2 linked regions of the Elephas maximus indicus genome follow. The protein of the gene in region 2 purifies or fractionates together with the protein of the main gene of each other region. This does not show direct contact. Links are inferred from orthologs where the notes say so. Each region holds a gene or a part of one and is shown on either strand. Other genes may lie near its edges.

Region 1 (16,128 bases), on a different chromosome or scaffold from region 2:
TAATAGCGAAGATTCATTTATTACTCATTTTATTGTCCTTCTCCTGTATTTACTGCCTGTAACTACAGCCCTGAAGGGGATGCATATTTGTCCCATTTTAGCTGGAATAAAAGCCGAGGTTCAGAAAAGTAAATGAACTGTTTAAGGTCACACAGCTATAAGTGACAGAGGGGGAGTTGAAACCCAGGTCTGTTTGGTTCGGTCTATGCTCTTGCCACTATAACATCCTGTTGCCTCTCTAGTTCTGACTGTATATTTGCCCCCTGTGTTCATGAGCAGGACTGGGGAGCAATCATGAAACTTCCCTTAGGTTCTGTAGATAACACTCCAGGAAGACAAAACAAAAACAATTGCCTTCCAGTCGACTCCCACTCATGGTGACCGCATGTGTGTCAGAGTAGAACTGTGCTCCAAAGGGTTTCCAGTGGCTGAATTTTCAGAGGTAGATTGCCAGGCCTTTCTCAGGAAGACAGCACAATATTTGATTAGTAGGGTCACCTCCAGACTTCAACAGCAGGGATTTTTTTTTTTTTTTTACCATTACAATGTGTCTGTTTCTTCTGGTGCCAGTTAGATTTTACCCAACAATATTTTTTTTAATAGAATATAGAATACTGCCTCTACTCCAGGTATAAATTTACCAAGAAGTTTTGTCACTTTGGGCAAATATATAGCTACATTCTTAACCATACTCATAAAAAAAAAAAATACATGCATATAAAATGAAATTTTACTCTATAGATTATTTTTCTGCCATTTACATTATTGTCAACATTTTTCCTATTATTGCTGCAGGGCAAATTCTTTCAGGTTGACCATTAAAATTCATAAAAAGGAATTGCTCAATAAAATTTTCTACGTATTTTATTAAGCTTTTGGTGTTTATTAACAACTTGCCCTTCAGATAAGTTGTAATTACCAAGAAACCTAATCACCAGAGGAGTATGAAGTACCTGTTTTCAATAATAGCAATAACAGTAATAATATTCATGTATTGCTTACTATGCATGAAGTCCTGTTCTAAGTGCTTAATGTATGTTAATTTACTTGATTCTCAAAACAACACTTCATTTTCTAAATGAAGCATATTGAGATATAGAGAGGTTAATTATTAAGTGTGATCATATTATCTCTGGCATTGTTTCTATCACCAAGGCCATATTTTCCAACTACTGATCCTTCTTTGTTTTTTCCAACTTTCGCATTCCAATCACCGGTAATTATCAATGCATCTTGATTGCATGTTGGATCAATTTCAGACTGCAGCAGCTCATGAAAATCTTCTATTTCTTCATCTTTGGCCCTACTGGTTTGAATAATAGTCATATTAACTGGTCCTTCATGTACGCATATGGATATTACCTTATCACTGACAGCGTTGTACCTCAGGATAGATCTTGAAAAGTTCTTTCTGATGATGAATGCAACACCATTCCTCTTCAAGTTGTCATTCCCAGCACAGTAGACTATATGACTGTCTGTTTCAAAATGGCCAATACCGGTCCATTTCAGCTCACTAATGCTTAGGATATCTATCTTTATGCATTCCATTTATTTTTGACAATTTCTAATTTTCCTAGATTCATACTTTCTACATTCCAGGTTCTGATTATTAATGGATGTTTGCAGCTGTTTCTTCTCATTTTGTGTCATGCCACATCAGCAGATGAAGGCTCTGAAAGCTTTACTCCATCCATGTCATTAAGGTTGACTCTACTTTGAGGAGGCAGCTCTTCCCCAGTCATCTTTTGAGTGACTTCCAACCTGGGGGGCTCATCTTCCAGCACTATATCAGACAAGGTTCCGCTGCTATTCATAAGGTTTTCACTGGCTAATGCTTTTCAGAAGTAGACTGCCAGGTCCTTCTTCCTAGCCTGTCTTAGTCTAGAAGCTCAGCTGAAACCTGTCCTCCATGGGTGACTCTGCTGGTATCTGAATACCGGTGGTATAGCTTCCAGCATCACAGAAACACGCAAGCCCCCACAGTACGACAAACTGACAGATTGACTATACACATGGGCCTTGCCAGATGGAACACACAGAAATCAAATTGACTACATCTGTGGAAAGAGACGACGGAAAAGCTCAATATCATCAGTCAGAACAAGGCCAGGGGCTGACTATGTAACAGATCATCAATTGCTCCTATGCAAATTCAAGCTGAAACTGAAGAAAATCAGAGCAAGTCCAGGAGAGCAAAAATATGACCTTGAGTATATCCCACCTGAATTTAGAGACCATCTGAAGAGTAGATTTGATGCATTGAACACTGGTCACCAAAGACCAGACGAGTTGTGGAATGACATCAAAGGCATCATCCATAAAGAAGGCAAGAAGTTATTGAAGAGACAGGAAAGAAAGAAAAGACCAAGATGGATGTTAGAAGAGACTCTGAAACTTGTTCTTGAAAGTCAAACAGCTAAAGCAAAAGGAAGAGTCGATGAAGTAAAAGAACTGAACAAAAGATTTCAAAGGGCGGCTCCAGAAGACAAAGTAAAGCATTATAATGACATGTGTGAAGAGCTGGAGATGGAAAACCAAAAGGTAAGAACTTGCTCAGCGTTTCTCAAGCTGAAAGAACTGAAGAAAAAATTCAAGCCTCGAATTGCGATAGTGAAGGATTCTATGGGGAAAATATTAAACAATGCAGGAAGCATCAAAAGAAGATGGAAGGGATACACAGAGTCATTATACCAAAAAGAATTAGTCGATGTGCAACCATTTCAAGAGGTGGCACATGACCAGGAAGCGATGGTACTGAAGGAAGAAGTCCAAGCTGCTCTGAAGGCATTGGTGAAAAGCAAGGCTCCACAAATGAATGGAATATCAATTGAGATGTTTCAACAAAGGGATGCAGTGCTGGAGGTGCTCACTTGTCTATGCCAAGAAATATGGAAGACAGCTTCCTGGCCAACTGACTGGAAGAGATCCATATTTATGCTGATTCCCAAGAAAGGTGATCCAACCAAATGTGGAAATTATAAAACAATGTCATTAACATCACGTGCAAGCAAAATTTTGTTGAAGATCATTCAAAAACAGCTGCAGCAGTATATCGACAGGGAACTGCCAGAAATTCAGGCCGGTTTCAGAAGAGGACGTGGAACTAGAGATATCATTGATGTCAGATGGATACTGGCTGGAAGTAGAGACTACCAGAAGGATGTCTATCTGTGTTTTATTGACTATGTAAAGGCATTCGACTGTAGGGATCATAACAAATTATGGATAACATTGCGAAGAATGAGAATTCCAGAACACTTAATTGTGCTCATGAGGAACTTTTACATAGATCAAGAGGCAGTTGTTCGGACAGAACAAGGGGATACTGATTGGTTTAAAGTCAGGAAAGGTGTGTGTCAGGGTTGTATTCTTTCACCATACTTATTCAGTCTGTATGCTGAGCAAATAATCCAAGAAGCTGGACTATATGAAGAAGAACAGGGCATCAGGATTGGAGGAAGACTCATTAACAACCTGCGTTATGCAGATGACACAACCTTGCTTGCTGTAAGTGAAGAGGACTTGAAGCACTTACTAATGAGGATCAAAGACCACAGCCTTCAGTATGGGTTACACCTCAACATAAAGAAAACAAAAATCCTCACAATTGGACCAATGAGCAACATCATGATAAACGGAGAAAAGATTGAAGTTGTCAAGGATTTCTTTTTACTTGGATCCACAATCAACAGCCATGGAAGCAGCAGACAAGAAATCCAAAGACGCATTGCACTGGGCAAATTTGCTGCAAAGGGCCTCTTCAAAGTGTTGAAGAGCAAAGATGTCACCCTGGAGACTAAGGTGCGCCTGACCCAAGCCATGGTATTTTCAATCACATCATATGCATGTGAAAGCTGGGCAATGAGTAAGGAAGACCGAAGAAGAATTGACGCTTTTGAATTGTGGTGTTGGTGAAGAATAATGAATATACCATGGACTGCCAAAAGAACGAACAAATCTGTTGTGGAACAAGTGCGGTCAGAATGCTCCTTAGGGGCAAGGATGGCGAGACTGTGTCTTACATAGTTTGGACATGTTGTCAGCAGGGATGAGTCCCTGGAGAAGGACATCATGCATGGCAGAGTATAGGGTCAGTGGAAAAGTGGAAGACCCTCAACGAGGTGGATTGACACAGTGGTTGCAATAATGAGCTCAAGCATCACAACCATTGTAAGGATGGTTCAGGGCCGGGCAGTGTTTCGTTTTGTTGTGCACAGGGTCGCTATGAGTCGGAACCAACTCGACGGCACCTAACAACAACAACAGTGTATAAATTTGACGCTGAGTTCATCCACATAGTACCACATGAATCAAATATCATTAAACAGATGTTTTGTTAAGAATGCAGGTTCCTGGATATCATTTATATCAGTAGGTTTGGCATGAGGCCTAGAAATCTGCATTTTTAGACAACTCCTCAGACTACTCTTAGTGATTCTCATTGTCATTATTTCTAAATTCACTCTAATAAAATCTTTGTTTTGCACTTTTTCTCAAGTGTTTGGTTTTTTAATTTCCAAGTGTTTGGATTTTTTACTTACATTTTCATTATTAATATCCAGGTTTATTCTATTGAGGTTAAAGAAGGTGGCCTGTAACATTTTCTTATTTTTCTCTTTAGTTTTTTGAGAAATTTAAAAATATAAAAAATATAAACAGTATTTATTATAAGAAATACTCATATTCCCACTACCTAGAATTAACTATTGCTGATATTTTGCCATATTCACTTCCACTCTAAAAATGAAACACATTTTTACAAATTTAATTCAAGATCCGTTTAATCACTATCCTCTATGCTGTTCCATTTCCTTCTCCTTGTGGGAAACTACCGGTGCAATTTTTGTATAAATCACTCAAATATACTTCTTTTTTTGAATAATAATTTTTGTGTTTTCTGTGAAGATTTACACATAAGCTTAGATTGTCATTCAACAATTTCTACACAAGTTGTTCAGTGACATTGGTTACATTTTTCGTAATGCGTGAACATTCTCATATTTCCATTCTGGTTGTCCTGTTTCCATTAATCTAGTTTCCTTGCCCCTTACATTCTCATCTTTGTTTTAAAGTTATTGTTGACCTTTGGTCTCATGTAGGTGGCTTTTTAAAAGAGCACCGTACCTAGTGGTGGCATTCACTACTTTTTTTTAGCCAATTTGTTATTTAGCTACAAGGAGACTTCAAGGATTAGTTTTGGTTCAAGGTTTGAGGAGTAACTCAGTACAATACACTCGAGGAGTCCTCCAGTCTCAACCAGTCCAGTGGATTTTTTTTTCTAGGAATTTGCGTTTCTGTTCCACATTTTTCTCCCATTCTATCATGGCCCTGATTAGAATTGCTGGTAATGGCAGTCCAGCACCATCTAGCTCTTCTGGTCTCAGGGTAGATGAGGCTGTGTTTTATGTAGACTATTTGTCCCATAGACAAGTTTCTGTTTTGAGTTTTGGGTTTCCTTCTTTCTCTTTTGCTCCGCACAAGTAGAGGCCAATAATTGTATCTTAGATGGCCGTTCACAAGCTTTTAAGACCCCAGGCACTACTCACTAAACTAGGGTTTAGAACATAACTTTATGAATTATATTATGCCAATTGACTGAGATGTCCCATGGGACTACAATCCTAATCCTTCAAATCCAGAAATCTAATCCCCCAAAGATATTTGTTTATGTGTAAAAAGTATCAGTAACTGTGCCACCTATGTGCTTTATTATATATATGAATGTATGTGCATACAGTCACACAGATTCATACACATATGCAAACTCCTATATATACACATATATATACCCATACATAAATATGGAGCCCTAGTGGCTCAGTGGTTAAGCACTCAGCTGCTAACCAGAAGGTTGGCAGTTCGAACCCACCAGCAGCTACAAGGTAGAAAGATGTGGCAGTCTGCTTCTATAAAGAATTTACAGCTTTGGAAACCCTATGGAGAAGTTCTACTCTGTCGTATAGGGTCACTATGAGTCAGAATCTAGTGGAATATGTGGCAATGGGTTTGGTTTTTTTTTTTGGTGTTATACACAAATATGCCTACATACATACATATATACCAGCACATATATTTTTTGGTTGTTTTTACTGTTGTTTCAAAAATTATACATGCAGTAGCAATTACCAGTATTTCCTTTTTATTTGTGTACTTTTTAATGACATTGTTTAATTTTGTCAAGCTGTGTACAGTTCACTCTCATTTGGTATTACCTTTTCCTTCACCAAAAAAAAAAACAGGTATCTACTACCTATAGAGTAAATCTCGACCCCCCCCCCACCCCCCCGCCTCTTGCCTCCCATCCCTGGTAACCACTAATGTGCATTGGTTTCTGTTTATTTACTTGTTCGTGTCATTTCATAAAAGTGAGAACATACAGTATTTACTGTTTTGTGATTGGCTTATTTCACTCAACATAACATCCTTCAGGTTCATCCATCTTCCAAGATGTTTTAGGAACTCATTTTTCTTTATCACCGAGTAGTATTCCATGTTCTGTACATACCACATTTTACTTATGCATTCATCCTTTGATGGGCACTTAGGTTGTTTCCATCTTTTTGCTATTGTAAATACCATATTTTTATGCCCTCCGCCCACCCCCACCCCCCTCCAGACACCCTCACAAGGGCAAGCCAAGCCAGTCCTCTTCCACTTGTTGCTGCAAAAAAAATTAGCATAGCATGCTTTTGAAAATACCTGGGGTGGGGGAGAAGGGAGGGAGGGCGAGGCCAGCAAAAAAAACACGGAAGGCACAAGTTATTTGAGTAAAAATGCTGTATGTGCTATGATGAATACAGTTGTGCATATGTCTGTTTGTGTCACTGCTATTAGATCCCTAGTGTATATACCTAGGAGTGGAATTGCTGGGTATATGGCAGCTCTACCTCCAGTTTTTTGAGGAACTGCCAGGCTGTTTTTCCCAATGGCTGTGCCTTTTTGAATTCCCAATAGCAGTGGATGAGGGTTCCAATTTCTACACATCGCTTCCAATTTCTACACATCGCTTCCAATCTAGTATACTTTTAATAATTTCACATACACATGAATTCATCTATAAACACCTAGAGTATTGTTTTTCATGTGCTAGTTAGTTTTCAGAAACCCTGGTGGCATAGTGGTTAAGTGCTACCGCTGCTAACCAAAAAGTCAGCAGTTCCAACCCACCATGTGTTCCTTGGAATCTCTATGGGGCAGTTCTACTCTGTCCTTTAGGCCACTATGAGTCGGAATCGACTGGACGGCAATGGGTTTTTGGGTAATTAGGTTTCTGAGATTTATACATATTGGAACATTTAGATCTGGTTCATTTCTTTTACTTACTGTATACTATTAATCATATTCATCATACTATGTTAACCCATTCCCGATTTATGGACATTAGGCACCATATTTTTTTTTCTTTGTCTTGAGATTTATTAAGGTATCTGTGGCCTAATGACTTCAAATGTTGTTACATACTCTTTGGATACTAGCGTAAAAATATTTCTATATACGATTTTTATATCAGAGTTAGATATTTATACATAAATTTGAAATTATTTCTTTTGTTATTCAAGTTCTCTTTCTCAGCACTGCTACATCTTTATTTCTCCAACTTAATCTGTAAAGAAGTTAGGTAAATGTGTTAATGTATGCCACTACAATTTTGTGCCTGTGAATTTCGACCTATAACCTATCCCTGAAATAACTTTCTGATTTTCAAAAAGTTATACATCCAGTGCCTACTTGTAAAAGCCATCAGAAAACTGAAAATCTTATAAGAAGATAAGAATTGTACATAATTTCAGCATTCAGTAATAAGCATCATTAACATATCAGTGTACAGACCGTCCCCAGGTTACAAAAAAGATCTGTTGTAAGTGTGTCTTTAAGTCCAATTTTTAAGTAAGTCAGAACAGGTACATGTATGGTTCTTATTTAGCGTCAGTTAGTAAAATGTTTGTCTTAGTATATAGTATATATTGCACTTTTTTATGCATATAAAAGACTTAAAAAACACTTCCAAACCCACAATGTTTTCATGAGTGTCACAAAGTAGTGCCTGCGTTTCTGTGATTACAAACCATTGTATGTATTTAACTCAAATTTTTAATATAATAGGGTTTATGGCAGTCCATTCTTAAGTAGGAGTTGTCAGTAGGTTAGCCATTCTAATGCGGGGACTGCCTGTATAGTGTCTGACTTACTTTTATACATACACATACAGTTTACATACACAAACTATTCAAAAATTTATTTTAAAAGTGTCTTTATTGTATTTTTGGTATTAAAATGTACATTCTTGTAAAAATTTTAACTATAGAAATACATAAAGTGAAAATAGTCTAGGATCTCCCTATAACTAATGTCTGTTTCACTCAGGATTAAAGATTGTTTATATCATATAAATAGTCATTTCTAAAAAACATGATGCGTATGATTTTATTGTAATATCATCATACATTTGACCATTTCTGTGTAAAGGCACTGTCTTTTTTAAATAATAATTTTATACATGTGTATTTTTGCATCGTTATCTGATTATTTTCTTAGCCCAGGTCTCTAGTTGATGCATTTCTAAATAAAGGTGGACATATTTAAAATGCTGATCGTATTTTCAAATAACTGTAAAAGGATTATAACAATTCACAGCATGAAAGTGCATTTTCTCAACTCCCTGCCAATGGTAAGGTTTATTTTTCTTCTTAGCCAACAAAAGCCAAAAATGGAATTTCATTGTTTTAATATCAATTTCATTGATTGCTAGTGAGTTTGATCATTCTTTTCTGTCTGTTGTCCCTTTGCACTTCTTATGTAAAACGCGTGCTCTTGCCCAGTCTTCTCCCCTTCCCCCATTAGCGAGTGTTCCTCTTTTCCTTTGTCAGAGTTCTTTATTATTCCTTTTTCGTCTTTTGCAGAGACTCTTGGATTCAGGCTTTCCGTCTTAGATTCCGACTCAGAGCGACCCCATAGGGTTTCCAACGCTATAAATCTCTACGGAAGCCGACGGCCACATCTTTACTGTAGTGGCTGGTGGTTTCGAACTTCCGACCTTTTGGTTAGCAGCCAAGCGCTTTAACCACTGCGTCATCAGGGCTTCTTTTATTGCCTTACAGACTGCTAATATATATTCTCCGTTTGTCTTCTAATGTCCTTTACAGACACTTACTTCCTTCACTCCCTCCCTCCCACCCTTCCACTCTCCTCTTCTCCCTCTCCTTCTTCCCCTTTCTTCCCCTCTCCTTCTCTCCCTCTCTGCCCCTCTCTCCCTCTCTCCCCTTCAGTACAGAAGTTTTTAATTTCGACCGAGTCAATTCTATCAATCTAGGCCTGGCAACGTCAACTGGGCGGGTGGGGGGGGGGAGGCGGGCTTAGAGCTGGGGGAGGGGAAGGGGCGGGGAGGAGCGGGCGGAGCAGTTTGCAGGAGCTGCTGGGAGTGCGCGCGGTGGGATCACACGGCGGCTGCTGAGGCTCAGAGCCCTGAACGCGGATATCTCGGCCCGCGGCCTACGCCAGCCCTCTCACCACCACCACCGGAGGACCAGGGAACCGCAGCCTTCAACTCAGAGGTACGGTGCTAAGCGCTCCCCACACGGTCCGGCCTAGCCTGCTGTGGCGGCGCCTCCTTCTTTCTTCCCTCGCTCTCTCGCTCACCAGCCCGCGCCTTCCCTGCCTGCCTGCGTCACCGCGGCCGCCATGGCTGAGAACGGCGAGAGCAACGGCCCCCCGCACCCCTCCCGCGGCCCTGCTGCGGCCCAAGGCTCGGCCACTGCCGCCGCGGAACCCAAAATCATCAAAGTCACTGTGAAGACCCCCAAAGAGAAAGAGGAGTTCGCGGTGCCCGAGAATAGCTCGGTCCAGCAGTTTAAGGAAGCGATTTCAAAACGCTTCAAATCCCAAACCGACCAGCTAGTGCTGATTTTTGCCGGAAAAATCTTAAAAGATCAAGATACCTTGATCCAGCACGGCATCCATGATGGACTGACTGTTCACCTTGTCATCAAAAGCCAGAACCGACCTCAGGGCCAGTCCACGCAGCCTAGCAATGCCGCGGGAACTAATACTACCACGGCATCGACTCCCCGGAGTAACTCCACACCGATTTCCACAAATAGCAACCCATTTGGGTTGGGGAACCTGGGAGGACTTGCGAGCCTTAGCAGCCTGGGCTTGAGCTCGACCAACTTCTCTGAGCTCCAGAGCCAGATGCAGCAGCAGCTCTTGTCCAGCCCTGAGATGATGATCCAAATCATGGAAAATCCCTTTGTTCAGAGCATGCTTTCGAACCCCGATCTGATGAGGCAGCTCATTATGGCCAACCCACAGATGCAACAGTTGATTCAGAGAAACCCAGAAATAAGTCACCTGCTTAACAACCCAGATATAATGAGGCAGACCCTTGAAATCGCCAGGAATCCAGCCATGATGCAAGAAATGATGAGAAATCAAGACCTGGCTCTGAGCAATCTCGAAAGCATCCCAGGTGGCTACAATGCTCTGAGGCGCATGTACACTGACATTCAAGAACCTATGCTGAATGCTGCACAGGAGCAGTTTGGGGGTAATCCGTTTGCCTCGGTGGGGAGCAGTTCCTCCTCCGGGGAAGGTACACAGCCTTCCCGCACAGAAAATCGAGATCCACTACCCAACCCATGGGCGCCACCACAGGCTACTCCGAGTTCTGCGACCACCAATACCACTACAAGCAGTGGGAGTGGATCTGGCAGTAGCTCCAGCAATACTACTGGGAACACAGTGGCTGCAGCCAATTATGTCGCCAGCGTCTTCAGTACCCCAGGAATGCAGAGTCTGCTGCAACAGATAACTGAAAACCCCCAGCTGATCCAGAATATGCTGTCTGCACCCTACATGAGAAGCATGATGCAGTCCCTGAGCCAGAATCCAGATCTGGCTGCACAGATGATGCTGAATAATCCGCTGTTTGCTGCAAATCCTCAGCTGCAGGAGCAGATGCGTCCACAACTCCCAGGTTTCCTGCAGCAGATGCAGAATCCAGACACGCTAGCAGCCATGTCAAACCCAAGAGCAATGCAAGCTTTAATGCAGATCCAACAGGGTCTGCAGACATTAGCCACAGAAGCACCTGGCCTCATTCCAAGCTTCACTCCAGGTGTGGGGGTGGGGGTGCTAGGAACTGCCATAGGTCCTGTAGGCCCAGTCACTCCCATAGGCCCTATAAGCCCCATAGTCCCATTTACCCCCATAGGCCCCATTGGGCCCATAGGACCCACTGGCCCCGCAGGACCCCCTGGCCCCGCTGGCTCTGGTGGCCCTGCTGGCTCTGGTGGCCATACTGGGTCCACGGTGTCTAGCTCTGCACCCAGTGAAACCACGAGTCCAACATCAGAACCTGGACCAAACCAGCAGTTCATTCAGCAGATGGTGCAGGCTCTGGCTGGAGCAAATACTCCACAGCTGCCGAATCCAGAAGTCAGATTTCAGCAACAACTGGAACAGCTCAACGCAATGGGGTTTTTAAACCGTGAAGCAAACTTGCAGGCTCTTATAGCAACAGGAGGCGACATCAATGCAGCAATTGAGAGGCTGCTGGGCTCCCAGCCATCCTAATTACATTTCTGTACCTTGAAAAAAAACGTATCTTATTTTTGATAATGGCTCTTAAATCTTTAAACACACACCCGTGCTTTACTTTCATTTTGATTCTTTTAAATCTATCTGGTTATAAATCTAATATGATGCATTTTAAGGTGGAGTCCCTTCCCTTTCCTTCCCTTTTTCCTTCTGTTTCCTTCCTTCTCTGTTGTGAATGGTGGGAATCAATACTGTTTCACTCAGAAGTGCTGCATGCAAACACTTCTTTTTACTCTGCATTTATTGTGATTTTTGGAAACAGGTATCAACCTTCACAGTTGGGTGAGCAAGTTTTGTCCTACAGATGTCCAGTTTATTTGCATTTTAAACATTAGCCTGTGATAGTAATTTAATGTGAAATGAAGATATTAGAAGCAAACTATTTGAAGCACTCTAATTTGTGGTATAATATTGCTTATTGTGAGTTTGGCATGTATTTTTGCTAGAAAAATGCTGTAAGATTTATACCACTTACCTTTTTTGCTATATTTGTACACAGTACAGTAAGCACAATTGGAACTGTGCATCTTTTAGAGATTGCAATAGACTGAGCAGAATATGTGTAACCAAAATGAGAAAGAATAAATATTTCTGAAACTAAGTACTTCTCCCAATTTTGTAGAATCTTACAGCATCTTTGATGAACTCAGTGAAAATGTTGGCTAGGCAAGTTCAGTTAAAATATAGTAGAAATGTTTATCCTGGTTATCTCTAAGTATACATTTAATTGTACAGAAAACTGTCAGTGTAACATTGTGTCAGCACTTACAGATTGTATATGATCTTAATCTTTGTGCAACCTGAAGGATCAGTGTAGTAATGCCAGGAAAGTGCTTTTCACCTAAGGCTTTCTTCTCAGCTTCTTCGATAAAGAGACCCTAATATGCATTTTGATTTGTAATTGGAAATGTAACTTTTCCTGAAAGTGTCATGTGGTGTTTGAATTACTTCTAACTGATATGTATAAAGGAAACTGTATCTTTTGACTTTATCAGTTATTTCTCTTGTGCACAGGGAAAATGCATAAAAAATGACTAAAAAAATAATAAAATAATAAAAAATGGATAAATCCTTTCCTTTTTGCCTTCTGGCCTTAGGATCATGTTTTGAAGGGTTGCCCCACCTCAAGGTTCTGTAAATCTTATCCTATATTTCTTTCTTTAACTTATCATTTTATTTAAAAAAAAAATTATTTTTGGGCCAAATGGAATTATTTTGATGTACAAGCCACCTTATTGCCATCCAGTTGATTCTGACTTACAGGACTCTGTAGGACAGAGTAGAACTGACCCCATAGGGCTTCTAAGGCTGTAATCTTCATGGAAGCAGACTGCCACATCTTTTCTCCCTCAGAGTGGCTGGTGGATTCAAACCACCCACCTTTTGGTTGGCAGATGAGCACTTAACCACTGCACCACCAGGGATCCTGATGTATAGATTTAGGTATTCTAACTCTTTTTCCCCAAAGGATTAGCCTGCTATTAGCCGGTAGTTCATCTCCTTCCATTTGAACTTTCATTTGTATATGTATATATACATTTTTTATACATTTAATACACTTTATATAAAGTGTATGTATATATACACTTTATTCTGTGTTTGTATTCTTTTTAGTATCACTGAACTATCTGAGTAAGTCATCTGAGTAGCCTGAGTACATCAGCCTCTAGTTATTAGAAATAAGACTTCATATCTTGAGTCCTCCTCTTGATCACTTTTTTTTTTCATAATTTTCTGATGATCCTGACGTGTTTATTTTAACCGATGAACTTTACAGTTAATAGATCCCCCCCCAAAAAATAAATTGGAAATTTGGTTATTGCCTCAAATTGATAAGATGTTGAGAACAGAATTGCAATTCTTTCCAGAAACACAGTATGTTGCCTCCATTTTAAAAAGCTTTTTACATCCTTCAAGGAAGTTTTAAGTCCTGTATAATTATTGATACTGCGAGTGGGAGCCCTTACTCATTGTGTTACCTATATGATCATGGTTGGAGAGGAATTTATTTTCATAGATTAAAATTAGACAATTTATTAAAGTATTAATATATTAATTTCAAAGGTATTCAGTTGATCCTTTTGGATTTTCTAATAGGCAATCATATATCAATGATAAGTTATAATACTATGTTCTTTGCAGAATTTATGACAGTTTCTGACTGCATGGCTTAAACACTTCCAGAGTAGTGCTAAGTAATAAAGGTGGCAGCGGCATCCTTATCTTTTTTCTCATTTTAACCAGATTACGTTTGCTGCAACAATCCTAAATTGTGTTTTGTGAAACATCCTTCTGAGAGATGATTAAGCAATTAAGTTTGAAAAATGCTGTATACTACATATACTCTTTCTTTGAGATTTATTGTACAATAAATGTTGGCTAATGTTATTTTTTAATGAGTAAGTTCTTACAATTAAAAAAAAACTGTTAACTTTTTAACTCAGCATTTCCCAAACTTACTTGAGTAAAGGACCACTTTTTTTCTTTTAAACACACCTAGTAATATTTGGCCTACCACTGTTCTTCAGAAAACCAACTTAGGAAATGGTGATTTATTACTTCACTGCTATATGGTGGTGAGTGTTTGAGATAATCACAAAGTCTGCTGTAATAAATTTTAAAATTTTAACGAAATGGATGATTTTACAGGAAAATACTAAAACCAACCAGAGGCATAAGAGAGCAATAAGTCAATAACCATAGGAGAACCTGAATGCTGTCTGAGGCCTGGCCCAGACAGTTTAGCAGGTAAATTAATTTCAAACATTCAAGAAACAGAAATCTTAATTTGCCAAATGTTTATCTATTTTTAATCTATTTTTGTTTTTCTCCCTGAAAAGATCCAAGTCTTTATTAATTCTAATGTTTCTCCACTTTCCAGCTCATAAATTTTTGTTTGTAACTTTAATTATTTTGGCTTCTTTTTTATTGCTTTTAACTGCTCTTCTTCGATCCTTTGCATAATGTAATTTTCTCCTATTATGTTGCAGGCCCTTTTTCCAGGCTCTGTTGGGTTTTTTGTTGCTGTTAGGCTTTCTTCACATACTATTTATCCATTTATTCATCATTGAGTCAAGAAAGGTATCTATGACCTGCTATCCATTCTCTCCAATAAGAGAATAGAGGTGATTTTCGTATTCTGTCACTGTTTGCTTGGTTGTCACCCCCTCCCCAGGCCTACACTGGACGGCTGGATGGTGTAAGTTTGGTCTAGCAGGGTCAGGTAGTAGGGAGCTAGGGCCAAGAATAACCCCAACAAGAAGATTTCACCCGTAGGCAGCTTTCCACATTTGCCCTTTTGACCTCTGCTTCAGGTATGTGGTATATGAACTCTCACCACTTGTGTGTGGTTGGGGGGGGAAGTGATAATACAGCATTAAAACAAGCCCTGCTGCTGCAGTAAAGAGGAATTTTGTATCAGGTGGAGACCACCATGTTAGGTGAGTAATCACTTCAGGAGACACCTGTAATTGGATGTGGCTGAGCTGGCCCGCTGAGAGGAGGCAGCCTGCTCCAAGTCCTGATTTTCAGTGTCAAGATAGCAATAAGTGGGGTGCATGCAGGACAGGAACTAGTCCCAAAGCCAACTCTTCAGACAGGGATTGGACTGGACAGTGGGTTGGAGAGGGATGCTGGTGAGGAGGGAGCTTCTTGGATCAGGTGGACACTTGAGACTATGTTGGCATCTCCTCCCTGGAGGAGAGATGAGAGGGTGGGGGGGGGTTAGAAGCTGGCGAAATGGACACGAATATAGAGAGTAGAGGGAGGGAGCGGGCTGTCTCATTAAGGGGAGAGCAACTGGGAGTATGTAGCAAGGTGTACTTAAGTTTTTGTGTGAGAGACTGACTTGATTTGTAAACTTTCACTTAAAGCACAATAAAAATTAAAAAAACAAAAAATGTAAGATCACAGTTTCTAGCCAATCTGTGAAAAGGTGAAGCTTTCAATGGTTTTGCCCATTGTGTAGTGTTAATATATACTGATGACTATGAAATGTTCTTCAGACTCAGACATGGCTGTGGCAGCAGGCTTGTCTGTTTTCCCATTCTTGCGTATTCTGAAATATTCTCTGAACTTGGGCAAACATGGCTGTGGTAGCATGCTTGACCGTTTTCCCACCTTTGTCTGCTCTGTAATAGTTCCTTGGATTTGGGCAGACATTAACTCTGGCAGCATGCATGTCCATTTCCCACTCTTGTCTTTTTGAATATATGCTGAATGAAACCTTTTTGATTTTGATGTTTTTTTACCCTACAACAATACAGTGAACTACTTAGTTTGAAGATAACAATTTTTTAAAATTTGAGTAACACTGTTAAAATGCCCTTCGAAGTGTTTGTAACAATTTACACTCTCCCCAGTAGAGGATGGAGGTTCACAACCGTTTTCCTACATTATTAAAAAAAAAATTCTTTTGCACTTTTGCCATACTGATGGGCAAAATGTTATTTTAATTTGCATTTCCCTGATAGCAATGAGGTTGAGCTTTAGTACATTTGTTCTTTGGCCCCTAAAGTTTCTTTTTCCATA
Region 2 (15,336 bases):
TTCCCTAGCTCTTCAGGGCTGCCAACAAGTCAGTGCCTGACCTTTATCCTGGAAGGCAGCTGTAGCCTGATAAAGACAAACATATTCTTATTCAAAACAAAAACAATTTTCCTTTCCGTGCCTCAGTATGGCCACATTATCGCAGTGCGTGAGCTTGGAAGGTACCTCACCAGAGGGAAAGAGAATGTTCTTCTTGTATTAACACGATTAGGCATTCTTGAATACACAATCAAGCCCTGAATTCTTTGTAATGGAAGTACCAGATTGACATACTTTTTAATCATGCCTCTTACATAATGACCAAGTTTGCTCAAAGAGGAGCTGAATGCGTACTAGGTCTGAGTGACCATACAGTGTAACTGTGGTATCGGGGAGAGAAATCATCCGCTTACAGGTACATAACAACGGTGGCCCCCATGACCATGAGGAATCTGCTCAGGGAGGAGTAGAAGTAGAGGATACTGAGGAAAACGGAGAACGTAGCTGCAGAATAGGTCCAGTCCAACCAATCTCGGTTTATCTCGTCATCTTCCTCTACGATTGGGCCACCTTGTGCATTCATCCGCAAATTCTGATTGGCTGCAGGATTGACCACCACTTGAGGAGCAGCATTCTGGTTGGCTGGCTGGTTTTCAGCTGGAAACTGGTTGTGAATTGGGGCTGGAGCCGGTGCTGTGACCACAGGTATCTCTTGTGCACTTGGTGGTGGGACAAAAGCCCCCGAGGCAGCAGTGGCTGCTAAACTAAGATAAAAAAGACAGAGACAGGAACTGTTGGGAGCAAAGCACTGTGAAGACAGTGGCTCACCTAACCTTACCTAGCAGGGGTCTTTACTGTTAACAATCAGAAATAGGTACGTGCAGACTTGGTTCTTCTTTAACGTAGTGAATAACTTCATTGCTGAAGGTCATATCCATAAATGCCTTGTCTGTCCCTGAGAGAGGCCACACAATAAATTTCCTCCAGAATTAAACTTCACTGTCACTATAAAAGTATGGTGCAGGAGCAAATTAAAATTTTTACAAATGCAAAAAAAAAAACCTTAAAAATTGAAAAAAGAAAGGTAATATATTCTAAATAAATTCATCAGACTCTGTGCCAGACAAAAATCAATTCACAAATGAGGTAGCGCTTGTCACTTATACTCTCTTCCAGCCACAGAACCGGAGAGAGCAGGGCTCTGTAGAAATTGATGAAAATACACTCATCCTCCACTCTCCACTGTATAGGTGACATGGGTGGGACTGCCCTCATTCCCAGGAGCCCTGGCCACACCCACACTCACTACTGCATGTAGTACTGCCGGGCGTATATCTGCTGGAACCAGGACAGCTGCAGCCACCCATAAGTTGTGTAGCCCGTGAAACCAGGCCCCAGGCCTTGGAACGTCTGCTGGGCAGCTTCAGGTCTATAAAAGATTAAAAAAAAAAAAAAATCATTTCAAGTTGGTTTAGTAGAATAAAAGAAAACTAAGTTTAAATTACAAGCAGGGATTGGAGTCAAAGAGACAAGAAATGTCAAATGGACGTCCACTCTTAAGATGGAAGGATGGGCTTCAGGAGAGCTTTACGGTACACGGCGGTATGGTGCACCTGTGTAATGCAGGCACAGAAGGCGACGGCTGGTGAAGCCCTCCAACCGCAGTGCAGAGCCCACAGGAAGACAAGAGCCTCTTGTCCAGCACTGGGTTCTCATCATCCCAGTGACTACAGCGACTGGTGCTTGTTTTGCATATAGATGAAGTAAGCTGGACCTTTTCAGGTTAAGCGGATCCCCGCCTCACGTTTTGCCTTGCTTAGTCTCACTGCAGGCCAAATACACTGCTGATCCTTTAGAAGGCAGCTCTAAAGCCCCTTCTCACAAAGCCTCTCCTGACAGATCTCTGCCTCTTCTCTGGTCCTGGATCTCATTATTGGAGCCAGTTATGTGTGCATGTGGCATCACTTGTGTGTGCTGTTGACCACCTGGTGTCCTGTACAGGCTGCTGGGCCAGGCACCTTCAATCTATTCTCACTCGACCCCAAATGACCCTGTGGGGAGGGTCATCTCACCCCCACTATACCGAGGGGGAGCCCGAGTAGAGCTTAGGGAAGACAAGAGATTGGCACAAGGTCACTAAGCTAGTTAGTGACAGGGCTGGATTTGAGACCTGGTTTTCTTTGGTGCCAAACTCACACTTCTTTCAGGCAACACAGCCTTATACTGCCATGGGCCGGGGGGTGGGGGGTCATCTTTGGCTCCGTGCTTCTCACACAGAGCTCCTGTGACAGCACTTCGCAGCACTGAAATTATGGTAGACTTATGGGAAGATCCAGGGCTGGTTATGTGGTCATCTGTGCAGGCCAATATATATCTTTAAGGAAAGCTCTATGTACTGGCTGTTCAATAAATACCTGCTGAATGAAGTCACCTGGTTTTAATACGGTGAACTTCGCAAAGACATGGGCCGCAACTCTCAAGTCACACAACCAGAATATCCAATTATCCAATTTGTATGCTGACAGTCTATTAACCAGATCCCATACCCTGAGTGTTTCTGAAATAGTCCTCTAATACAATAGGTCTTGGTCTGATACTATTTTTGATCATTTACAAAAGCTACAGTGCATGAAGATGGGATGATAACAAAGAGCTTTCATTAATTTAGTTATATCTGATGATGGCATTATAGATATGCGAAATAACTAAAGTGTTTTTACAGCTGTATTTTTTTTTTTATATTAAAACATGAGACAACATGATAGCTGGGACTGACTTCTAAACACTTACACAAACAGGGAAGCAGGTACTAGAGGAAGCAAGTATGATGAAGCTTTGATCGTTTATTGGGCCTGGGTATGTTGATGTTATACAGTTCCCTCTGCTTCTGTGTTTTTAATATTCATGTTTTGATAAAGCCAGATGTTCGAGTTTTCTTTTTATTTTCATTAAGAAAAAGAAAATGCCTCAAACATCTGGCTTTATCAAAACACAAGTATTAAAAACTAGTAGAAAACTACTAGGGGGAGGTGAGTAGGAAAGTTTCAGAATTTCAACTCAGTTAACAGATTATTTTTTTCTGTAGGAACTTCCATAATCAGGTGTTCCTCCAAGGGCTAGAAAACCCCAGTGTCAGGACATTTAGTCACTTCTGGCTTTTGCTCTAAAGAAATGGCCTTTTTTCCTTGTATCGCCAACACAGTGCTTGGCAGAGCACTCCTTAAAGTCTCTTCACCTTTTGTCACCCATTGTTACAATAAACAAAGCACAAAGCCAACCAGCAAAGCAGCAGCAAGATGCCAATGACCAATTGCTTTTTCCCTGCAGCGGCGGGAATTAGGCAGGAATTCCCAATCTTCTTCGGGGCAATTGAGGGGTCAGCACAATGTAAACACACCCAGGTCGGAGGGACAGATGCCTACATTTTCCATACTCAGCCTCTGACTTTTTTACATGTTCTGAAAAGGCTGTGCATAAAGAAAAATTAAATACATACATGAACCCCTTTATAAAGTTTTGTGTGTTTCAATGTTTTGTGACTCTGTGTGTATAAAAACATGTTATTCTTAAATTCTTGCTAACGTTACACGCTCCTGTTGTATAAATTAGTCCTTTATAATACTCACTCACCTAGACATGTTCTCCCATCCAGAGGGAGAAAGGTTTCGAAGAGCCTCCCTTTGTCTTAAACCATCACTTGAGGAATCCCCAGGGTACTGTCCCTGATTAAGACCAGTGGGCTGCTCTGTGGATTCAGCAACCTAAATAAGGATAATGCGAACATCAGAACAAAGGATCTGATGCAACTGTGTGAAATCAAGCTAAAAGGCTGATTTTGCTGTGAATGGCTTAGGACCCCCACCCAAACCTCTGAACCTGACAAAATTAAATAGGTGCAATGGTATGTAAGAAAATGTCCTGAAATTTGTTCAACCCAATTTTCAATATATGGATACTTAAAAAAAATCTTTATTTTTCCTTAGAGTAACTACCCTATAGTTTCATTAAAGTCTTCCAACGAAGTTATCATTGGTGAGAAAGCTTAGATAATGCTCTATCTGTCTTACAGATGCTAAATTTACTAATTTGACTCAACCAGCAACCTAAAGGAAAGAGAATTTCCTATGCTACATTCAGATGTTTTAGGAAATGCAATGGCAACGCAAACTTAGAGAATGTCACCATGTCTAAACATTAATACTATACATACGCAAATAATCCTTGTGAAACAAAAAAATAAATGATTGACTGTCAATCATAAATGAGTGTCGTCGTTGTGCGCCCTGCTCGTTGGGTGATTCTGGTACATAGTTGTTGGGCAAATCACACCCCAGGAGACAGTGTGATGTGTAACTCTGCTTTTCCACTACAATCCTAATGGAATAGTCTGCTATATTACAGGAAACTCTCACTGGCGCTGATAACAGATTTCCTAATTCCTGATACTCACTGAGGAAGAAAAAAAATGTCACCTGGTAAAAATACAATAAAATCTCTCGTAAAGAATTTTATCCTACCTTCTTTATTCCTCCCTTGAGAGCCTGAATGACAAGATTGTTCCCGTCATGAAAAACCAGACATACCTTTGCACTGGTTTCTGGTGTTTTTGAAGGCGTCTTCACGTTGCACACCAGATGCAAAACATGCCGTTTTTCCTGCTAAAAGTATTAAGGAGGCACTTTAGAACCCGAATTCAATCTGGTAAGTGCTTAAGACATTCAAAAGTTCATGTGTAAGCGATGTACCTTTGGAAGCAAGTCCCTGAGACACTGGTGATCCAACAACAGCTTCCCAGAATAAATTAACCTCTGGTCCTCCGGACGCTTATCATGGAAAAGAAAGAGTCACACAGGTCAGCAGCATTCGGCCCCAACAAGTTCCCAAACACATAAAGGACTGTTTCACACAAATCATCAGAATATATGTGCTTTCCCCTATAGGAAAACACTTTTTCAAAGGCCTCATACACAGAACTTTTTATTTAGAAAGTGCTTAACTTTAAACTGATCAATAACATGCAGCAATTCTAAACTGAAGTCCTCAAAGGCTTTTCCTCACATACATATGCAGTTATAGAGGAGATGGTGAGTGGGAAACGGTCCACACAACTTTGTGGGAGTCAGTATCCCTACCTTCACGGGAGAAACTCTGAGAAATTGACTTGTCCAAGGTCAAGATCCCAATCCCTCTTCTCCTCCATACCAGGGATTTTAAAACCGTAACGACTCTAACACACTTTTATACAAAACTGACTTTTAAAATAGATTTTTAATGTATTTTGCACTTCTTTTAAAACCTTACTTTTAAAAACAATGGCCCCAATGATATATACCAGAGTACACTGGAACTCACCAACTTGTCAACCTACTCTTGTCAGAATAGCCAGTGACGCAAAACTTGGAACAAAGCTGTTCCTGCTAACAAGCCCGAGATTATAAAGCACGCTGTTTAAAACCAACGAAAGAAAATAACAAAAACTATGTGTGCTTATCTGCATAAATCAGGATTTTGGACGTTGTGGAACTACAACAAAATGCAGAACTCTATTGGGTGCAGCGATCACCACTGTTCTCACTGGCTGACTTTATAAGTAAATGCCATATATATGAATTTGTAAAATACTACGATATATGTGGGACCCTGCATTATACTGAAGATTTCTGCCACTAGAACTGTGTTTGAAAACTAGCGCCCTGTAGTAACAGCTGCCTGTGGATCTGAATTGTTTTCTCTTTTAAAGGCCTGACTTGACATTCTATGCCTTTACCCAGAAGACGCCATCTGAAAAAAAATACATTATCTTAAACAAACAACTGTTACAAAATAAAGCTTCTCACTTTATACCATTTTATACTCCCCCCGCCTAAAAAAAAATGAAGAACGTCCTCCAGGCATCCTAACTTTTAGATGTAACTTTGTATAGCTGAGAGGATGTTTTATTTAGAACTCTGGGTCTTCAAACACACCTATTAAGAGCGATGTTCCTAACCAGGGCAAGTCCTCAAGGAAAATGCTTCTCCACAACACTGCCTTTTACCCTATGATGCAACTAGAAACTACACCTGCTTCCCAGTTTGTGTACCTACTTGCCATTCTCACAGCCAAACAGCCACTTAGCTTCTTGGGAGCAGCTACCATAAAACCGCAAAGAATGCCAAGGTGAATTCTAAACGGCGCTGAGATAGAAACTTAAATAAATGAGCGAATTTCAAAATAACAACTCAGAAAGAAAATCCACTTCTACACTCCTAACGACAAAAACAACCTAACACAGGAGCTACACATACCAGAACCCTCTAGGGAAGGATTAGCAATTTCACAATTTTTTCCTGCCCCGGTGCCCTTTCCTGTTTAATCCAGAATTACAAACGTGGGCAGCACAGAACATTGCTGACATTTACCTAATATCCGAGGAGAAAGTAAATACAAGAGAGTCCAGAGCACAATCTCCATCACGTGGTGGGAAAGGAGGCGCTAAGGGTGATGTTGACAGATGTGCCAACCAAAACAAAGCAAGGAAGTCTCCGTAAGTGAGGGGCCAAAGTCGTAAAACCCAGACTCAAGGAAGCTCCTTCTGCCTGCTTCCCCACGAAGTCACTCTTGACCATAAAGTGCACCCGGCTCCTCCCTCGGACCCAGCAAAGGCTGCAGAGTCCAGCGCGACAGGGAGGGGCCGATGGCGGAAAGTGCACCGGGAGGGGAAGAGCCACGTCTTCCTCTTGGGTGTGGGACCTTAAGGACGCTGTGCCTGGTGCTCTAGCTACTGGCGCGGGGTGGCACCTGCACCCTCCTCTCCGCACTGAGCCGATACATTCATACAATTCATTTCACGGCATTTTTTATTTTCTTGTTTCCATCCATTGGATGCAATCCTATAAGGACACCTAGTAGCCCAGACGTCTGGGGAAACTAAGGCCTGGAGGGTGAAATGACTCACTCAAGGTCAAAATGCTGTTTCAGTGGCTTGGCTAAGGGTGGGACCTTGATCTGGGGCGAAGAGGAAGGGACCTGGGAGGTGGGGCAGGGCTGTGACAGCGTCTGGGGGCTTGGGGAAGTGGGGAGGTGGGGAGGCGAGATGACAGGAGACGGCAGCCCGTCAGGAAGGCAGGGTGATGGCGGCCAGAGAGAGGAGGCGACAGCCACCGGGCAAAGAGACGGGCGCCTACGGTACCGGCGGGCAGGGAAGGGGGGGAAGCCACAGCCTTGGGGAGGCGACCCGGCGGCCTTAACTGCCGCCGGAGGAAGGACAACTAAGGAGGAGGCTACTGGAAAGCGGAGGCGGACAGGGCATCCCTGGGAGGAGGGCTTGGGGGCTCCTCTCACCGGGCGCTCGGGGTAGACACGGCTCAGGTGGGCCTTGAGGTGACCCACGGTCCAGCTGCGTTCGCAGCTCAGCTCCAGGTCGCGGTGGCGCTGGTTGGGGCTCTTCACCAGGAGCGTGAGGGGCTCCAGTTCAGGCTGGGCATCTGGCTCCATGTCGGCTGCGCTGTGGGCTCCGCTACGCTCCGAGAAGCCAGGCACACGGCGCCGCACCCCCCCAGGCCCCAACGACGACGGTTCACGTCTCCCGGACGCGCGGCCCCGCCTCGGGCACCTTTTATAGGCACGCCGCGTCCGGGCCCTGCGACAGAACGCACTGTGGCTGCAGCCCATTGGCTGCGGTGGAGGCCACGGCCCCAACGTGGCCCAATCGGCGCGCGGATTGGGGCGGGCTGAGGACGTGGGCGTGGGCTGATGCAACCCGTCGCCGTTGCGTCAGCCCGAGCCGCGGCCGTGGCCCGGGAGCCGGGGTTCGGCGGCCATGTTTGGGTGCGTTGGACGGCGTGCGGGGCAGTTCGGCCCTGCGTCGACCAGAGAGCTTCGTAGCTCAGGTTGCCTGGGGCGCCTTAGGGAAAGCCATCCCACCCGGCCCCCAGCCTCACAGTCTCGGCAGATTGTTTCCTCACAAAGCAGCACCCCCGCCCTTTTTAACCCCGGGTACCAAGGCCAGCGTCCCCTTTTCGTTCTCCCAGGGGCCCGAGGACCTGCGGTTCCACAGCCAGTCAGCTCGAAGAACGGCTGGGTGGCTCCTATGGCTGGGTGGCTCCTATCGGCGAGCCCAGCCTGGAGTGCGCCCGGGATGTGCATTAGAAGGGCAAGGAAGAAGTTGCGCAGACATAGTGGTCTGGGCTCGTGGCCGAGAGGGTGAGGACATCCAAACGGCTGTTACCAATTTATGGCCTCTTGGTCTTGAACGTTACACCCTCAAGTGTGGAATATCATCCTTATTATGAATGGCAAGCAGGCCACAGTCCAGCTTACACTGGGAGACGCTCGAAAAGGATATGCACACATGGTTCCTTTCAGTTGGGACTGAGGCAAGGGAGGTTTCCTAAAATGTGACCACAAAGGCCTCTCTGTCATAGGCACTCCCTCCCTCCCTCCCTCCTTCCCGTCCGGAGGAGAAAATGTATTGAAAAGCAAAACTGACGTTGCACTGCCCCCATCCTTGTTCCAGCCCTGTTGGGACATTTGTTTTTCCAGGTGTGTCAGGGAGCCAAGGCTTGGTTTGGTAAGGACAGAAGGGTAGCAGGAGGAGCCTAGCGGCCTTAATATAAACAACATGAGGTGATTTCTTAGCTGTCTTTATACTGAGAACAATGGAGAGAGCCTTGGAGATAAATTGCCCTCAAGCTCAGCTTTCTAGGTTGGTTTTTGTCTGCTGAGGAGGGCTCGCTCTGTCCCTTTTCATCGTGGTTGGCTTCACGGATCGGGCCTGTGCAGTTAGTTATACAGGGCCCCATACTTGGTTTAGTGCTCTGCCATCGCTGTCTTGAAATTTTTAATAAACTGGAACAAGAGCCCCAGATTTTCGTTTTGTACTGGGTCCCACAAATCATGTAGCTGGTCCTTTTTATACCTCAAGATGGAAGAGAAAAACTGATTATGATCTGGTCTTGCTACTCATTAGAAGTTGACCTATGGGATAAGACCAGATGAAACAAGCAGAGGCCTTAGAGGGGACAGCTAGGCAGGAGATAACAGCTTCACTGGGAAATTAAGTATGCCACATGTCATGGATTGAATTATGTCCCCCCAAAAAGGTGTGTATCAATTTGGCTGGGCCATGATTCCCAGTATTGTGTGGTTGTCTTCCATTTTATGATTGTAATTTTATATTAAAGAGGATTAGGGTGGAATTGTAACACCCTTACTAAGGTCACATGCCTGATCCAATGTAAAGAGAGTTTTCCTGGAGTGTGGCCTGTACCACCATTTATCTTACAAGAGATAAAAGGAAAGGGAAGCAAGCAAAGAGCAGGGGACCTCATACCACCAAGAAAGCAATGCCAACAGCAGAGCACGTCCTTTGGATCTGAGGTTCCTGTGCTGAGATGCTCCCAAACCAAGGGAAGACTGATGACAAGGACCTTCCTCCAGAACCGACAGAGGGGAAAAAGCCTTCCCCTGGAGCCGGCGCCCTAAATTCGGACTTTCAGCCTACTGGACTGTGAGAGAATAAACTTCTCTTTGTTAAAGCCATCCACTTGTGGTATTTCTGTTACAGCAGCACTAGATGACTAAGACACCACATAACATGGTTTCGTCTGGCCTGTAGTAGCAAAGGTTGTTAATTGCCGTCAAGTCAAATCATAGCCACCCTATGTACAACAGAAGGAAACTGCCCAGTCTTGCGCCATCCTCATAACCTTTGCTATGTTTGAGCCCGTTGTTGCAGCCACTGTGTCAATCCATCTCGTCTAGGACCTTACTCTTTTTTGCTCACCCTCTACCTTACCAAGCATGATGCCCTTCTCCGGAGACTGGTCCTTCCTGATAACATGTCCAAAGTAGTGAGACAAAGTCTCGCCATCTGCACTTCCAAGGAACGTTCTGGCTGTACTTCTTCCAAGACAGACTTGTTCATTTTTCTGGCCAGACCTGTTTTTCTGGCAGTGCATGGTATATTCAGTATTCTTCACCAACACCATAATTCAAATGCATCAATTCCTCAGTCTTCCTTACTCATTGGCTAGCTTTCACATGCATGTGAGGTGACTGAAAATACCATGGCTTGGGTCAGGTGCACTGTAGTCCTCAAAGTGATGTCTTTGCTTTTTAACACTTTAAAGAGGTCTTTTGCAGCAGATTTGCCCAATGCAATATGTTGTTTCATTTCTTGACTGCTGCTTCCATGGGCATTGATTGTGGATCCAAGTAAAATTCAAGGTGTATGACAAACATTAGGACCCCTCAGGACATCTCATTGGTTTCCACTCAATAGCTGGGGAAAAGGTTATCCAATTTCTGTGATTCCCTCAAGTTATCTCATGAGGAGAGAGCTTCTTTTAAAGCACTTCTATGATTGTGTCTATAGCACATTTAGAAAAACATTAAATTCAAGTCAACACTGGCCGAGCCACTCCCCATCTCTGAGCCTCCATTTCCTCATCCGTAAAATGGGGAACATAATAACAGCCACTCCTAAGAGTTGTTGTAAGGACTGAAGAAATTAAAACCCAGAAAGCCCTCAGCAACATGCCTGGCATCCAGTAAGGGTGTAATAAATGTAGGCTGGTGTTAAAGCAAGCTGAGAGGGTGAGAGGGAGCACACAGCCTCTGGCCACAGAAGGTCACTTCATGACCATCGTGAGGCCAGGATGATAACACTGGGTGAGACAGGCCAGCCCCACTGACAGATGGAGCTGCTGGCCCTCCCTTCTGCTCACCAATCCTCTCCTTGTGCTCAGCCCAGTCGCTTTTCTGAGAGCCAAGAGGTAACCAAGTGTGGTCTGCAGGGCAGGGAAGGCTGCAAAGAAGGGGTGGGGAAAGCTAGCAGGGTGGGCTCCTCTGACCACCCAGTGGCGTCACTCAGGTTGATGTCACCCAGTGCAGTAACTCATGGTAACACCCCCCACATGGACCTCCTCCCATACTAGACCATAAAGAATCCTTAGTAATGTCTATTATCAATTTTAATCATAGAATAATATGTGATATAGTTGTAAATTACTTAAATGTAGTATTTCTCAAATTATATAAATACTAACAACAAAATTGTTTTGTAAAATCTTTTGACGTTGAATTACAACATTATTAGTTTTAGAAAAAAAAAAAAAGCTATGTCTTTAGAATAAATTTCCAGCAATGGTTTTAAAAAGAAAAAAAAATTCAAGTCAACAAATGTGCCAGGACTAGGATGATAAACAATCACAACCTTGTCCTTAGTGACTTTACAAATATAATGGGGATGATAAGACAGTACAAAAATAAAAGACAACCCAAATGTCTCATAGGTTCCTGGGGGACCTGTGAGAGAGGCAGAGAGGAGGAGTCAGAAAAATTGATGGAAGGGGTGGAATTTGAGCTCAGGATGGAGGATAGGTGGGATTTGAAAAATACACACATATGACAGCCTCTATTGCTGCTATGAGTTAAAATCAGCTCAATGGCAACAGATTTATTTTATTTTATTGATTAACTACCACCCGTCTGTCAGTTTGTGGTACTGCTGTGGCTTGAGTGTTGCTATGAAACTGGAAGCTATGCCACTAGTATTTCAAATACCAGCAGGGTTGCCCGTGGTGGACAGGTTTCAGAAAAGCTTTGAGACTAAAAGAGACTAGAAAGAAAGGCCTGGTAATCTATTCAGAAAATTAGCCAATGAAAACCCTATGGATTACAGAATTTTGTCTGAGACTTCAACTTGCTTGCTTTGGACACGTCACTGAGAGGGACAGATCAGTGGAGAGGGACAACACGTTTGGCAAAGTAGAGAGCCAACAAGGGTGAGGGAGATCCTTGATGAGAGGGATTAACTCAGTGGCCACAACAATGGACTCAGATATGCCAACAATCATGAAGATGGTGCAGGACCAGGCAGTGTTTTGTTCCATTACACATGGGATCACCACGAATCAGATTCAACTCAACAGCAGCTGATACTGGTAACTGGTATACCCATACAATGAAGCACTACTCAGCAACAAAAAGGAATGAACTACTGATACGTGCAACAGCATGAATGAATCTCAAAACCATGCTGAACAAAAGGACCAGACACAAAGGAGTACATATTATATGATTGCATTAATATGAAACTCAAGAACAAGCAAAACTAATCTATGGTGACAGAAAGCAGATCAGCGGTTGCCTGGGGATGGGGGTGGCAGAGAGAGTTTGGGAGGGGGTCTGGCAGTGGTGTGCCGATGCCGTCTTATATCGGTTCAGGAGTTGATTGTGAGCCTCTTTCCAACGCTGCTTTCAGTGACATCAGGTTGATAGCTTGAAATTGGCCAAATGGGAATATTTGCACCAGAGAGATCAGCAAATGCTATAAATCAGAGCTTTTTTTCTCCCTCAAGGAGCCAGTTATTAAACTTTTACCAGCACACTGCTGGGCATGAGGGAACTTTCTGGGGTGATGAAATGCTCTCTCATGTTGATAGACGAGTAGTTTATACATTTGTCAAAACTAATGAAACTATACACTTAAGACCTCTGTCTTTTACTATCATAAATTATAACTCAATTTCTAAAATGAAAAACAATTAAAAAAGGACAGCTGTCTGGGTCCCACTGCAGGCCTACCAATTGGGCATGATGCATCCAATTGGGTTCTGGTTCTAGGGCAAGGTTTAGGAACTACTGGCTAAGTGTGACAGTAAGTACAGGATTTATTTTAAAATAATAATAATGATAATGTCACTGACCCCCAACTGTATGTCAGTTTGTCATACTGTGGGGGCTTGCCTGTTGCTGTGATGCTGGAAGCTCTGCCACCAGTATTCAGATACCAGCAGGGTCACCCATGGAGGATAGCTTTCAGCTGAGCCTCCAGACTAAGAGAGACTAGGAAGAAGGACCCAGCAATCTACTTCTGAAAAGCATTAGCCAGTGAAAACCTTATGAATAGCAGCGGAACATTGTCTGCTATAGTGCTGGGAGGTGAGCCCCCCAGTTGGAAGGCACTCAAAAGATGACTGGGGAAGAGCTGCCTCCTCAAAGTAGAGTCGACCTTAATGACGTGGATGGAGTAAAGCTTTCGGGACTTTCATTTGCTGATGTGGCACGACTCAAAATGAGAAGAAACAGCTGCGGACATCCATTAATAATCGGAACCTGGAATGTACAAAGTATGAATCTAGGAAAATTGGAAATCATCAAAAATGAAATGGAACACGTAAACATCGATATCCTAGGCATTAGTGAGCTGAAATGGACTGGTATTGGCCTTTTTGAATTGGGCAATCATATAGTCTACTGTGCTGGGAATGACAACTTGAAGAGGAATGATGTTGCATTCATCATCAAAAAGAACGTTTCAAGATCTATCTGGAAGTACAACGCTGTCAGTGATAGGATAATATCCATACGCCTACAAAGAAGACAAGTTAATATGACTATTATTCAAATTTATGCACCAACCACTAGAACCGAAAATGAAGAAATAGAAGATTTTTATCAGCTGCTGCAGTCTGAAATTGATCGAACATGCAATCAAGTTGCATTGATAATTACTGGCGATTGGAATGCAAAAGTTGGATACAAAGAAGAAGGATCAGTAGTTGGAAAATATGGCCTTGGTGATAGAAACAATGCCGGAGATGGAATGATAGAATTTTGTAAGACCAACGACTTCTTCATTGCAAATACCTTCTTTCACCAACATAAACAGCGTCTATACACATGGACCTCGCCAGATAGGACACACAGAAACCAAATTGTCTACATCTGTGGAAAGAGAAGGTGGAAAAGCTCAATATCAGTCAGAACAAGGCCAGGGGCCGACTGTGGAATAGACCATCAATTGCTCATATGCAAGTTCAAGCTGAAACTGAAGAAAATCAGAGCAAGTCCACGAGAGACAAAATATGACCTTGAGTACACCCCACCTGAATTTAGAGACCGTCTGAAGAATAGATTTGACGCGTTGAACACTAGTGACTGAAGACAAGACAAGTTGTGGAATGACATCAAGGACATCATCTATGAAGAAAGCAAGACGTCATTGAAAGGACAGGAAAGAAAGAAAAGACCAAGATGGATGTCAGAGGAGACTCTGAAACTTGCTCTGAAACATCGAGCAGCTAAAGCAAAAGGAGGAATTGATGAAGTAAAAGAACTGAACAGAAGATTCCAAAGGGCATCTCGAGAAGACAAAGAAAAGCATTATAATGACATGTGCAAAGAACTGGAGATGGAAAACCAAAAGGGAAGAACACGCTCATTGTTTCTCAAGCTGAAAGAACTGAAGAAAAAATTCAAGCCTCAAGTTGCAATACTGAAGGATTCTATGGGGAAAATATTAAACGATGCAGGAAGCATCAAAAGAAGATGGGAAGAATACGCAGAGTCATTACACCAAAAAGAATTAGTCAATATTCAACCATTTCAAGAGGTGGCATATGATCGGGAACCGATGGTTGTGAAGGAAGAAGCCCAAGCTGCTCTGAAGGCATTGGTGAAAAACAAGGCTCCAGGAACTGATGGAATATCAATTGAGATGTTTCAACAAACAGATGCAGCACTGGAGGTGCTCACTCATCTATGCCAAGAAATATGGAAGACAGCTTCCTGGCCAACTGACTGGAAGAGATCCGTATTTATGCCTATTCCCAAGAAAGGTGATCCAACCAAATGTGGAAATTATAGAACAATATCATTAATATATCACACACAAGCAAAATTTTGCTGAAGATCATTCAAAAACGACTTCAGCAGTATATCAACAAGGAACTGCCAGAAATTCAGGCTGGTTCCAGAAGAGGACGTGGAACCAGGGATATCATTGCTGATGTCAGATGGATCCTGGCTGAAAGCAGAGAATACCAGAAGGATGTTTACCTGTGTTTTATTGACTATGCAAAGGCATTCGACTGTGTGGATCATAACAAATTAAGGATAACATCGCGAAGAATGGGAATTCCAGAACACTTAATTGTGCTCACGAGGAACCTTTACATAGATCAAGAGGCAGTTGTTCAGATAGAACAAGGGAATACTGATTGGTTTAAAGTCAGGAAAGCTGTGCGTCAGGGTAGTATTCTTTCACCATACCTATTCAATCTGTATGCTGAGCAAATAATATGAGAAGCTGGGCTATATGAAGAAGAACGGAGCATCAGGATTGGAGGAAGACTCATTAACAACCTGCGTTATGCAGATGACAGACTTGAAGTACTTACTAATGAAGATCAAAGACCACAGCCTTCAGTATGGTTTGCACCTCAACATAAAGAAAACAAAAACCCTCACAACTGGACCAGTGAACAACATCATGATAAACAGAGAAAAGATTGAAGTTGTCAAGGATTTCATTTTAGTTGGCTCCACAATCAACAACCATGGAAGCAGCAGTCAAGAAATCAAAAGTTG

The links.
Region 1: the proteins of HERPUD1 (region 2) and UBQLN2 purify together in Homo sapiens (affinity purification with mass spectrometry; 3 studies listed by BioGRID, with this or other methods). This does not show direct contact. The link is inferred for Elephas maximus indicus from reciprocal best matches to the Homo sapiens genes HERPUD1 and UBQLN2.

What each region holds. Positions count from the first base shown.
Region 1 is NC_064846.1:111,487,414-111,503,541, reverse strand, and holds UBQLN2 (ubiquilin-2), read left to right. Parts: upstream 1-9,402; 5' UTR 9,403-9,681; coding exon 9,682-11,574; 3' UTR 11,575-12,680; downstream 12,681-16,128. UniProt on the Homo sapiens protein: Plays an important role in the regulation of different protein degradation mechanisms and pathways including ubiquitin-proteasome system (UPS), autophagy and the endoplasmic reticulum-associated protein degradation (ERAD) pathway.
Region 2 is NC_064839.1:23,865,000-23,880,335, reverse strand, and holds the start of HERPUD1 (homocysteine-responsive endoplasmic reticulum-resident ubiquitin-like domain member 1 protein), read right to left. Parts: upstream 7,547-15,336; 5' UTR 7,456-7,546; coding exon 7,303-7,455; intron 4,803-7,302; coding exon 4,725-4,802; intron 4,638-4,724; coding exon 4,563-4,637; intron 3,741-4,562; coding exon 3,610-3,740; intron 1,409-3,609; coding exon 1,286-1,408; intron 744-1,285; coding exon 393-743; intron 1-392. UniProt on the Homo sapiens protein: Component of the endoplasmic reticulum quality control (ERQC) system also called ER-associated degradation (ERAD) involved in ubiquitin-dependent degradation of misfolded endoplasmic reticulum proteins.